3 linked regions of the Mus musculus genome follow. The protein of the gene in region 3 purifies or fractionates together with the protein of the main gene of each other region. This does not show direct contact. Links are inferred from orthologs where the notes say so. Each region holds a gene or a part of one and is shown on either strand. Other genes may lie near its edges.

Region 1 (4,280 bases), on a different chromosome or scaffold from region 3:
ACTTTGTAGACCAGGCTGGCCTTGAACTCAGAAATCTGCCTGCCTCTGCCTCCAGAGTGCTGGGATTAAAGGCGTGCGCCACCACGCCCAGCCTTTAAAACTACTTTTTAAATGAGGTAGTCGGATCACTAGTTTGCTCGATCTAGGGATAATGAGGTGGGTGGTAAGTGAAAGAAAGTAGGATTGTCACCCAGAAAACTGCCTTTGTACAAACAGCTTGCTTTAGGGAGCCTATAAATAAGTCTGCTACCTTGTGTACCAATTGGTAACTGTGTTCAGATAATTAATTCTCTAAACCCTCCCACGTATTTCTATACTTCATATTTATATGTTTCTATCAGAATGAGCAAAAACATGGCCACAGTATTAAGTCTTCACATAGGCCCACGGCTTTGTTTTCAGGGTAGACCTCTTCTCAGTATACCAAAAAAGCCTATGTAAGCTTGGACCTTCGACAGGTTTATGTTCCTAAAATCCTCTGTAGCATCATAGAAGGAGCCAGCTTTGGGAGTATATCCCATCAGTTTCGCAGCGATAAGGCTTCAGCATTCCTTTTGTGTTAAGCTATGTAAGTCTGTCACTTGCACTAGTATTTTACTGCAGCCTTCAGTCTTACCTGGTACAGAATGAGGGTGCACATTTGAAAGCATGCTCTTTCCTGATGGGAAGTGAAAGGGTGTGCTGTTTTAGATACTCAAAACATTAGGGCTAGGCAGGATGGAGAATAACAGGGTTAAGGCCTTTCTTCAGGCTGATAATCTTTTCCTTAGTACAAACGCCGGTGAAAACCTCCACGGAGCAGATTCTGCCTTTCTCTGCAAACAGCCCCCAACGTCTGCTGCTGGTTCTTGATAGAGTCTACCCGGCAACTTATATTCAAGTGGCTAATATGTGGGGGCTAACAGGAGCGCGGGCAAAATCGTCTTGGAGCTGCCCTAGTGAAGGAGGACCTCCGAGCAAACTCGGAAGTGGCCTCTCTTCCCATGTCCTGTAAAGCTGGTCTAAGGAAATAAAAAGATGCATGTGACGGGTTGTGTGCTCTGTTTGCGTGGACAGGGGCCGCGGGAACCGGGTGAGGGAGTTCGACGGTCAGGTGAAGCGCGACCTGAGGCCCAGGGCCCCGGGATCGGCCTTCCGAGCAAAGTTCAGATTGGGACCTCTGTTGGAAGCGCTGGCGAGCCGGGTTCCTCTCCGAGACCTGGGCGCGCTAAATCGCAGGCTCTGGGTCTGATCTCTCTCATGGACCCCGCCCCTCGCTCCTTAAGCCACACCCCCTCAAGCGGAACACCTCCCTTCCCTTGGCATTCGCCCCGCCCCTTCCGGTCCGCAATCCGGAAGCGTTCTGGAGCTTGCTAGTTCGCTTTCCGGCTTGAGAATGCGTTCTCTGTAGTGTGACTTGGAGCATCTTTTCTAGGAAGTAAACGCGTCCTAATTTGAGACGCGGACTTTCCGGCATTGCTGTAAAAGCTTCCGGCGCTACCTGGCTGTAAATACTCTGTATCTGACGCCGTGTCGCCCACGAAGGCGATCAGGTTTAGAAATATCCAGAGGGATCTTACGGTAACCTACATCAGCCCGCCAAGATGGCGATGCAAGCGGCTAAGAGGGCGAATGTGAGTACCCCGCTTTCTGCGTGACAGGGAAGCGATGTTGTTGCTTGACTGTTGCTGCGTGCCTGGGGAGCGTTTTTTGTCCCTCCGCCCATAGTTGGGGAAGCTTGTTATCAGTTCTGTCAAAGGAGGTTCTGTCCTGGGCTCGTCCTCAGGGGTGTGTTCTTTGAGCGACTTTTCGCCCCACCCCTATTGAGAGCCCCCTGGCATCAGTGACCTCGTAACGCCTAGGACCAGGCGTTAGGCTCTTCTGAGTCCAAAAAGACATACGGAGTAACTATTTGGTTCCTTGCCAGCTGGAGCCTGGGATTTTTCTCGAATGTAGAACTTTGGGAATCCTCTATTAATATTATGTAAGCACCTGCTTTGTCTCTTGTCTTACAAACGGGAAGCAATTCATCAGTTGGGTTTATTCAACACTACTGTGTAAAGGACTAGTCGGGCTTATGTTCTACTGTTGTCAGTGAGTGTTACCAAAACCTTTAAGGAAAAAAAAAAACATCTTTCAGGAAATTAAGAAGTGGTTAAAACTTAGAATCACACCAAAACAAAGACACATAATTGACCATTGGATATCCTGATGAAGATTTTGGGCAACCGCGATTATGTGAATCATTTCAGTGAATGAAAACTTAGTTCCTGTAAAATAAAAAGATGGTAGGAGTTAGGACAAAACTGTAGAGCTGATTCTATGATTTTTCTTATTAATAGAGAAATTGAATTGTTTTAAAGATACCTACAGTGCTTTTTATAGACCAACGAGAGTGAGCCAACATAATGGTAGAGACCTGATATGTAAGATTCCAGAGTAAAACTGGAATGTGGCTCAGTGATTGCCTAGTGGGCGTGAGTCTGGATTTGACTCCCAGCACCTCAAACCATGACAACCAAAAATAAGTAAAGAGGGGAGTGGTTGGTACACCAATAGAAGAAAAAAATGGTTGGATGGACATAGATGGATAAAGTTTACAATAGGAATATATAGTTACCATTTGATCATATCTGTTTTCTTCAAGAAGTGTGGAGCCCCGGGTCATATCCTATGTTGGCTGAGAAGAGTATAGAGCCTTTTCAAATTTTACAGGGGATGATGATGGTGAAGTTTTAGGAGAGAAGAGAGAGACATACACAGTGTTTTACACAGTGAAAAAGCAGATTTACTGGAGAAATATATTTGTGTGGCAGTTGTTGATTATCAAACTTGACCTGGAAATCTTAAACTTTTATAGTCTGTCTAATTATCACCACTACTCATTTGAAGGTAGGGATAAGCGTTTTTACTTTCATGTTTGTTTATTATTGTATGTGCACATGTAGAGGCCAGACGACAATTTGTGGGAGTCGGTTCTCTCCATGTGGATTCCAGGGATTGACAGCTCACCAGGCTTGCTGGCGAGGGCCAGCTCACCAGCCTGAGGGCAAATATCTTATCCTTTCATTCATATAATGCTTAGCTTCATACCAAAAGCCGTGTTGGTTTAATAAGTGATTACTGAAAATGTTTTGTCTGAGCTGGGCATGGTGGTGGCGGCGCATGTCTTTTATCCCAGCACTCGGGAGGCAAAGGCAGGCGGATTTCTGAGTTCGAGGCCAGCCTGGTCTACAGAGTGAGTTCCAGAACAGCCAGGGCTACACAGAGACACCCTGCCTCATAAAACCAAAAAAAAAAAAAAAGAAAGAAAGAAAGAAAATGTTTTGTCTGGTATGTAATTGACTGTAGTAGCAAAGAGGGACGTGTGAGTCAGCTGTAGAGGAAGAAGGCTAAGAGTGAGGAGTGTACAGCAGGTTCAGACAGGCAACAGACCGGGCCACAGTATCAATGTCACAGATAGGAGGAACAACAAGAAGGGTGAGAGTGAAGAGTGTATAGCAGGTCAAGACAAGCCACAAACTGGGGCACAGTATCAATGTCACTGATAGGAGGAACAACAGCCAGGCCCCTAAAAGGCTGACAAGGGAACGCTGGAATGAAAAGATGTTAGTAAAGACACTTTCAAGTGGTAGCTCAGGTCTGGGTGTCCTATAAAGAAGATGAGTCAGTCAGGACAGACTTTCCTTTGCAGCCTGCATGACTGAAAACAGAAGCAAGATTTAAAAAAAGGTAGAGCTGGAAAGTGCAGGGAAGGTAGACACCTTGTCTTTCATTCAAGGCATCTCTCTTAGTACCTAGCTCACTGTGTACATTTAAAAGGCACTTAGTAGCTGGGCAGTGGTGGCGCACGCCTTTGATCCCAGCACTCAGGAGGCAGAGGCAGGTGGATGTCTGACTTCGAGGCCAGCCTGGTCTACAGAGTGAGTTCCAGGACAGCCAGGGCTACACAGAGAAACCCTGTCTCAAACCTCCCCCCGCCCCAAAAAAAAGGCCCTTAGTAACTGTTTGATGCATAAGTGAAGAGGAGCCCAGTACTTTGTTTTGTGTGGATTGGGAGGACCAGATCAGCTGCTCAACTGGGGACTAGAAACTGGTGAGAAGGGAAAGCCTGTAAGAACAAGAGAAGTCACTGATGCAGGCTCCTAAGCCATGAGAAGGCGTATGAGTGGGATTCACTGTCCTTTCTTCCCCACGAGACACTAAGGATGGATGTGTAAGTGAAGTGGGGATCCTTGTTAAGTAGAGCGGGGTTTTAGTTGCTCCTGACAGTCTTCCCTCTGCTGACTTCCTGAGGAGCA
Region 2 (3,646 bases), on a different chromosome or scaffold from region 3:
CACACACACACACACAGCGTACTCACAGGAGGCTGAGGAAAGAAAGAAGGCTAATAGTATCCACAACAATTTTTTTTAAGTTTAAAAAAAAAAAAGATTCTTCCTAAAACCTTCAGCCTCTTCAAAAGAGGGGAAATTAATTGAGTACAATATTACCTAAGTTTTTTAAATTTTAATTTAAACAAAGTTGAAGTGTGTTGCCTTTCTTTACTGTGTATGTTGGGGAGCACATGCCATGATACACATGTGGAGGTTAGAGGTTACCTGTGGAGCTGGTGTCTCCTTCTACCATGTGGGTCCCAGGGATCATACCCTGGTCCTCCAGTTTGGTTGGTGGCAAGAGCCTTTACCTCTGAGCCACGTCACCAGTCCAAAGTCGAAAGGTTATTAAGAAAGGTTCTAACAGATTTCAGCTTGGGTACTGAGACAAACAGTACAAGAAAAACAAGTTTTATAAACTTGGTAGGTTTAGGCACATCCACATCAGCTGGTTATTTATAGAAATCTATATTTATACTAGGAAATAAGGACCTCAGTCTGAAGACAAAATGCTGGAGTCAACACCTCATCCACACACTCATCTACACTGCACTAAAGTACCTACCTCTTTCTGTTTTGGGGGTCTCATCCCATCTGTTTTTACGAGCACTGGAAGTTGCACCACCATGGCCCGGGGTTGCATGGCCTGGTGTGTCGCCTCGCCCAGGAGTAGCAGCTCCCGCAGGTGTATGACTCGGTGTAGGGTCCCATATTTTTGAGCCTGGGGTTGCGCCAGGTGTTTCACTTCCTTTTGCACGACCCGGTGTCTCATCCCATCTTAAAGATGGGGTATGCCCAGGGGTCTGTACAAAGCAAAGGAATTTTGTTTCACATACCTATACACCTTAGAGATATAACTACAAATTTTCTATTGCACAAAAAAAAAAACAAAACAATAAATGTATCTTTCAGTGGAAGTTAGATATCATTTTGCTTACTGATTTGCAAATGCTTATGATGAAAACAAATTTACAGCTTTCATTTGGAACTGAACAATGTAAAAAGCACTAGATTAAAACACAAGGCTAGAGATGGCTCAACAGTTAAGAGCACTGGCTGCTCTTCCAAAGGACCCTGTTCAATTCCTAGCACCCACACAGTGACTTACAACTATCTGTAACTGCAATTCCATGAGAGTCAATACCCTAATACAGACATAAATGCAGATGAAAAAAATGCAAATTAAAATAAATAGAATTTTAAAGATACACAAAACATTCTGGGTTATAAACCTTTGTGAATATATATGTGTTGGTAATTTGCCATGAGCTGCTTAAGCTTGTAAAAGATAACTCTGAAAGAGAAATAATCCCCATTTTAGACCCAAGCATGTTTGTCTCAAACTATTTCCAAAACACATATCCTGGCTCAGGCTGACTCCCTTTTACAAGGGAAGAAGACAGAAGAATAGCAAAAGAGCCCAAAAATAAAACACTGTTCTTGAAAACAGTTAAATCGTCTATTATTTGCCCCATGATAAAAATGTCTGGCTATAGGACTGGAGAGATGGCTCAGAAGTTAAGAGCACTGTCTGTTCTTCCAGAGGTCCTGAGTTCAACTCCCAGCAACCACATGGTGGCTCACAACCAACTGAAATGGGAGCTGATGCCCTCTTCTGGCCTGCAGGCATACATGCAGGCAGAACACTGTATACATAATAAATAAATAAATAAATAAATAAATAAATAAATAAATAAATAAATAAATAAATCTTTAAAAAAAAAAATCTGGCTGCAGCAGGAAAGAGAAGGCAGTTCCGCCATGAGAAGACCCTCCCCTCCCCTCCCCTCCCCTCCCCTCTTCTCTCTCTCTCTCTCTCTCTCTCTCTCTCTCTGTTTTTCGAGACAGGGTTTCTCTGTATAGCCCTCCCTGGCTGTCCTGGAACTCACTCTATAGACCAGGCTGGCCTCGAATCAGAAATCCACCTGCCTCTACCTCCGGAGTGCTGGGATTAAGGGCATGCGCCACCACGCCCGGCTTTTTTATTTGTTTATTATATGTACAATGTAGTGTGTCTTCAGATACTCCAGAAGAGAGCATCAGATTTCGTTACAGATGGTTGTGAGCTACCACATGGTTGCTGGGATTTGAACTCAGGACCTTTGGAAGAGCAGTCGGCGCTCTTAACCACTGGCCATCTTAACAGCCCCACCTTTGTTCTCTTAACCAGGCTACTCCAGCGGTCTCCGTGCTTGATTCTATGAAACCCTGATTCAATGAAGTTTTATTTATCTGCTGTACCTATCAATCTATTATTTGCCATGGTTCTTTAACTCCTCTCTTTTTTTTTGACTTCTCTTTTAAAAAAAAAATTATAAAAAAAATTGTAAATTGAGAAAAATAAATCAAAATAACCAGAATAACCAGGCCTAAAAAGTCTACAAAGCTCACTAAACTTCTATATGGTTAGAACAGCCATTTGGAATGGAAGCTGTGTAGCTTTCTTTTACTCTTATATGATATATACTTAATAAGCTCATTGAAAACTAAAAGCAAAGCTACTGTAATAATCTCCAGATGATACAAGGTACCCTGAAATATACACTGAGTTTAAACTCTGAGTTTAGAAAATTCATGTAATTTTGTCTATCTACAACTCCAATGCAAGACTTTCAGCTCTGAAATTAGTGCATCCCCAAACTGGATCCCTGAGACATTAGAACCTCTGGGGAAGAAGGAATCCACATGTATTATAATAAATACTTTAAAGAAATATGTTATGAGCCAGAGAAAAGTGCATCTCTGTGAGTTCAAAGTCAATCTGGTTGACTTGAGTTTCAGGCAACCCAGAGCCACGTAGTAAAACCCAATCTTAATGAAGAAAAAAAAAAGTCGGGCGTGGTAGCACACACCTTTAATCCCAGCTACAAAAAAAAAAGAAAAAAAAGAAAAAAGATTATTTATTTGTATGCCTGTGTTTGAGTACACACGTCACTGAGCAAGCGTGGAGATCAGAGACTAACCCATGGGAGTGCACTGTCTCTCTCTACCACATGAATCTTGTATCTGGAACTCACACTATCAAGCTTTGCAGCAAGCTCAGAGGGAAGAAAGATTAGAAGTGGATTTGAGTAATTTATCCAAGAATGTAAAAGAGCTCTGAATATCCAGTGTCTTGGTGGTGGCAGGGCTTGGGGAGGTGGGGTAAGTCATCCTGAGACAAGATAACCCAGAAACTCATAATCCTCCCTCACTCTCACCACACTCAGCTAATAAGGATTTTTATTCGTGATGGGAAAACAAAAATGATTCTGGATAGAGGTATGTGGATTTCTGAGTTCAAGGATAGCCTGGAATTTCAGGATAACCAAGGCTACACAGGGAAACCCTGTCTCAAAACTGTAACAACAACAAAAACCTCTGGATTAGGTAAGTAATGAATGAAAATGAATTATTCACAAACTTAATTTGCCCTTCCTATGCAAAAAAAAAAAAAAAAAAAAAAAAAGGTGGTAATATGAATCTTACTGCCATGCATCCTATTTTTTCCATAAATGAGCAAAAAAGAAAGGTAGGTCTAAGTCCTAATTACTTTCCTAGAAACACATTCTTTCCTAGAAGGCTTAGTAGTTAAGACCATTTAACTGCTCTCGCATAGAACCTGAGT
Region 3 (4,093 bases):
CTCCACGCCGTCTGAGAGTCAAGAGGAGTCTTTAGTTAAGGGCATCAGGGGAAGGGGGCTTAGGCAGGAGGAGGCTGGGAACTGACACATTCAAACAGCTCACGTTTACTGAGTACCTGCTACATTCTGGGTAATGTTCTAGGCCTTAGACAGAGAGACCATGGTGAACAGGCCGTGATGCTGCACAGTCAATAGTCTAACTAATTAACAAAACCATGGAATATGCCAGGCATGGTGGCTCATGCCTTTAATCCCAGCACTCGGGAGGCAGAGGCAGGTGGATTTCTGAGTTCGAGGCCAGCCTGGTCTACAGAGTGAGTTCCAGGACAGCCAGGCCTATACAGAGAAACCCTGTCTCGAAAAAACAACAAACAAACAAACAAACAACCATGGAATATATTACGTGCTTCCCTGGCTAGGTAGAAAGACAGTCGGACAAGCCTGGTATGGTGGTACACACCTTCAGTTTCAGCGTGGAGGAAGCAGAGGCAAGTGGATCTCTCTGAGTTCAAGGCCAGCCAGGCCTACACAGTGATATTGAATTTCAAAATAAAAATCTCAAAAAACAAACAACAAAATCCAAAACACCAATGATAACAAAATGATGATGATGATAAATAAAGTATCCAATGAAAAGCCTAAAAAAGACAGAAGCAGCAAATGTTAGGATGGCTCACTTTTAAACTGCAGGGTAGCAGGCTTGCCAGGAAAGTGACATCTTGTAGCTGGAGAGATGGCTCAGCGTTTAAGAGCATAGGCTGCTGCTCTTCCAGAGTCCAGATTCAATTCCCAGCATCCACATGGCAGCTCACAAATTCTAGCACTTGGGAGGCAGAGGCAGGGGAACACCTGTGAGTTCGAGTACTGCCTGGTCTATAAATCAAGTCTAGGACAGTCAGGGCTACACAGAGAAACCCTGTCTCGAGAAACCGAAAAGGAAACAACAACAACAAAAAACCAAACACCCAGTTTCTGGTCTTTGGTATAGCAGTTGGAAGAGCTAAGAAAGAGCAGCCTGAGAAACAGAAGGGAAGCAGTGCATATTGTTTCTCTCATAAGGCAACTGTGCCAGGTGGCTGGCACTGGCTGCTGGAAGCAGTATAGTAAGAAAACAGTCTGGATGCTGGGCAGGTATGTATGTATGCATACACACACACACACACACACACACACACACACACACACACACAAATAGCCCCAGCATTCAGGAGGCTGGGGTAGAATGATTCATGAGTTTTAGACCAGGCTAGACTACATAGTGAGTTCTAGGTCAGCCTAGGCTACAGGGTGAAACCCCACCTCAAATAAATAAATATACAATCAAACAAATGAATGAATAACAATGAGAATGTAACAAAACAACAAAACTCTAATCAAGTAGATTGAATAGCCATGAATGGACGTCCCTGGGGATCCTACCTGACTGGAACAAGTTCAGGGTGGAGAGCACGCTGTAGTAGGTGATGGGTAAGAAAATTATGAGCAGTGTCTTGGCAGTGCTAGGAGGACAGGCCTGCTCTACCACACACAGTTTAGATGGTGCTGGGGATTGAACCCAGGGCCTCAGGCATGCTATGCAAACATCCCACTAATAAGCTACGGCCTTAATCCCTGGCTTTGAACCTTCTAGGCTCCTGACTATAGGCCCATTTCACCACATCTTGCCCCAGATTCTCTTTTATGGCTTCATGGTAGCAAATGTGATTGGCATTTGTAAGGCTTGAGGCCCAGCACCAGAAAGTTTAAAAGATACATACAATTTTGTTACAGAAAATGTTAATATATATACTTTGAAGCAGGGCCTCATAGTACAGGGTTTGACTTTGTAGTCTGGAACTCACTATGTAGTTTAGGATGTCTTCAAACTTAAGGGTAATCTCCTGCCTCAGTCTCCCAAGTGCTGGGGTTACAGATATAAATCACCACAATTGGAGATTATCAAAGATTGAAACACACACTAGAACACACCTCTGCCTCTACATTCATAATCTGCTATTCAGCTTCAGTAACTCCCAGTTCCAAGTTGTCATCGCACATCAGACTACTATGAAACATTAAAGACAGGCGTGGTGGCACAGGGCTGTAAACTCAGTACCTTGGGACCTGGGATTGGAGGACAGCAATTTGGAGGCTGACCTTGGCAATAATAAAAGGCTGTGAACAAAACCCCAAAACAAAACAAAACAAAAGCCCCCGCCCCCGCCCCCCCAAGCCAATACTTGTAGGAAGTCAGTAGCAAAGTAAAAGGCATTGAAGGTGCGAGGGAGAAAGGACCTAAAGGGGCGGAATGAGAACTTTAGGACCTAAAGAGGCAGACGTTGGGGTCAGGAAGGGTTAGAATGCAATGGGGGCTGTTGGTTTGATGTGAGCTTTCATGGGACAAGAGGAGAGCTAGCTTGGGATACGGAGAAACTCAGGTTGGCACAGAAATGATGTTAACTTGAGAAAGGTTGGTCTGAGACTGGAAGAATCTGCAGGAGAGTTGTTATTTGCTTGAAGCGTTGGCATGGTAAAAAAAAAAGTGGGTTAGCCTAGGACATGGAAAGGGGTTCATTTCAAAGAAGAAGGGAAACGTCAACCTGCTACAAGGCCGAATAACCAGACCCACAAGGTGGACCAAGTGTTGAAAGTGCCAGTAAGCGGCGGTCAGACTTCCTAGAGTCCTCAGCGCTTGCCGGAACCATTTCCTGGTCACACCGCAAGAGCACCCTCCGGTCACCTGAGCCTGGCAAACGTCTCACCATTATCCGGCTTCCTCTCCGTCACCTCTGCAGCTGCCACCGCCTCCATAACAGGTCTCTTCAACACAGTAACCGCCACAGCGGGCTCCGGAAGCCAGGCTGGACCCTAGGTACCCGCAGGTACTTCCGGTTACGCAAGCGTCTTTATGCGGCACCCAAGCATCAAAGTTCCGGGTCAAAGGCGGGCCTTCTCTTATGCGCATGCGTAGCCCCGCTGATGGATCTTAAACCTATCAAATGGGAAAGTCAGCGGGGACCGTGTGTCATTTGATCGCTACTCTAACTTGAGGTCCTCGTGTGTTAATATTTGGAGTGGTTGTATTGGCCCTATCGCATAGACCCTCGAGTCCTCTTAAAAATACTTATGCGGTCAGAAGACAACTTATGGGAGTGTGGATAAAATTCAGTCAAGGTTGGCAGCAAGCATCTTTAACCGCCGAACCATCTCATCCAACTTTGTGCTCTCTGTAGATTTGACTTCCTTCTATCATCACATCCAGCCTGTAGGGCTGGCATGAGATTAAATTGGGGGGAGAACCTTTGTGTTTCCAAACAAGAAGGAAACCTGCAGATATGAGGAATTCGCTGTGTAAAAGGGAAGGACCTGCTCACCACAGGCAGGGTCAGAGACTTTCTGGCAGGGATAAAGCCCCCAGATGAGACCTGAAAGGCATGGGCAGGAGTTAGGAAGTACTTCAGGCAGTTTTGCTGACAAAGGTACTTCTGGGTGCTGTTAACTGTTTACTATGCAGAGCATACAGCACTCAGGAGACAGAGGCAGGGATATCACTGAGGGTTTGACGAAATCTTGTCTTGAATAAGGCCGGCCAGGGTTACATGGCAAGTTTTTCTCAAGAAAGCAAAAAATAAAAGATTATTGGAAGCTGGGCAGTGGTGGTGCACACCTTTAATCCTAGCACTTGGGAGGCAGAGACAGGCAGATTTCTGAGTTCGAGGCCAGCCAGGTCTACAGAGCGAGTTCCAGGGCAGCCAGAGAACCCAGACTCAAAAAAAAAAATGGAGGCCACGTGTCAGTGTCAGATCATAAAGGGCTTCGTAGCCCTATGAGGTGTTTGGAACCCATAAGGTTTGGGGTAGGGAACCAAGGAAAGGAACTGGAGATCACAACGAGGAAGGTGGTGCATTAATCTTGAAACAGGTTTGGAAGAGTTAGAACTTGGTAAGCATTCCCGACATTTGGGGAATGGCCTGGTAAAAACCCAGCTGCATCACCAGGAATGGCCAGCAGAGGGCGATGCTGCCCAACACACATATGCCAAGAGCAGCATTTCCCAGGCTAGGGACAAGGACCCCTCCTTACCTTCTCCTAGAGCAACTTGACAAGTGTCTCT

Evidence for each region.
Region 1: the proteins of Ccdc97 (region 3) and Sf3b6 purify together in Homo sapiens (affinity purification with mass spectrometry; 3 studies listed by BioGRID and IntAct, counting the BioPlex papers as one, with this or other methods). This does not show direct contact. The link is inferred for Mus musculus from reciprocal best matches to the Homo sapiens genes CCDC97 and SF3B6.
Region 2: the proteins of Ccdc97 (region 3) and Sf3b1 purify together in Homo sapiens (co-immunoprecipitation; 4 studies listed by BioGRID and IntAct, counting the BioPlex papers as one, with this or other methods). This does not show direct contact. The link is inferred for Mus musculus from reciprocal best matches to the Homo sapiens genes CCDC97 and SF3B1.

What each region holds. Positions count from the first base shown.
Region 1 is NC_000078.6:4,816,207-4,820,486, forward strand, and holds the start of Sf3b6 (splicing factor 3B subunit 6), read left to right. Parts: upstream 1-1,401; 5' UTR 1,402-1,583; coding exon 1,584-1,613; intron 1,614-4,280.
Region 2 is NC_000067.6:55,006,876-55,010,521, forward strand, and holds part of Sf3b1 (splicing factor 3B subunit 1), read right to left. Parts: intron 843-3,646; coding exon 605-842; intron 1-604. UniProt on the Homo sapiens protein: Component of the 17S U2 SnRNP complex of the spliceosome, a large ribonucleoprotein complex that removes introns from transcribed pre-mRNAs.
Region 3 is NC_000073.6:25,716,177-25,720,269, forward strand, and holds the start of Ccdc97 (coiled-coil domain-containing protein 97), read right to left. Parts: upstream 2,860-4,093; 5' UTR 2,791-2,859; coding exon 2,742-2,790; exon of another isoform or gene 2,720-2,741; intron 2,104-2,719; exon of another isoform or gene 1,969-2,103; intron 824-1,968; exon of another isoform or gene 678-823; intron 12-677; coding exon 1-11. UniProt on the Homo sapiens protein: May play a role pre-mRNA splicing through the association with the splicing factor SF3B complex which is involved in branch-site recognition.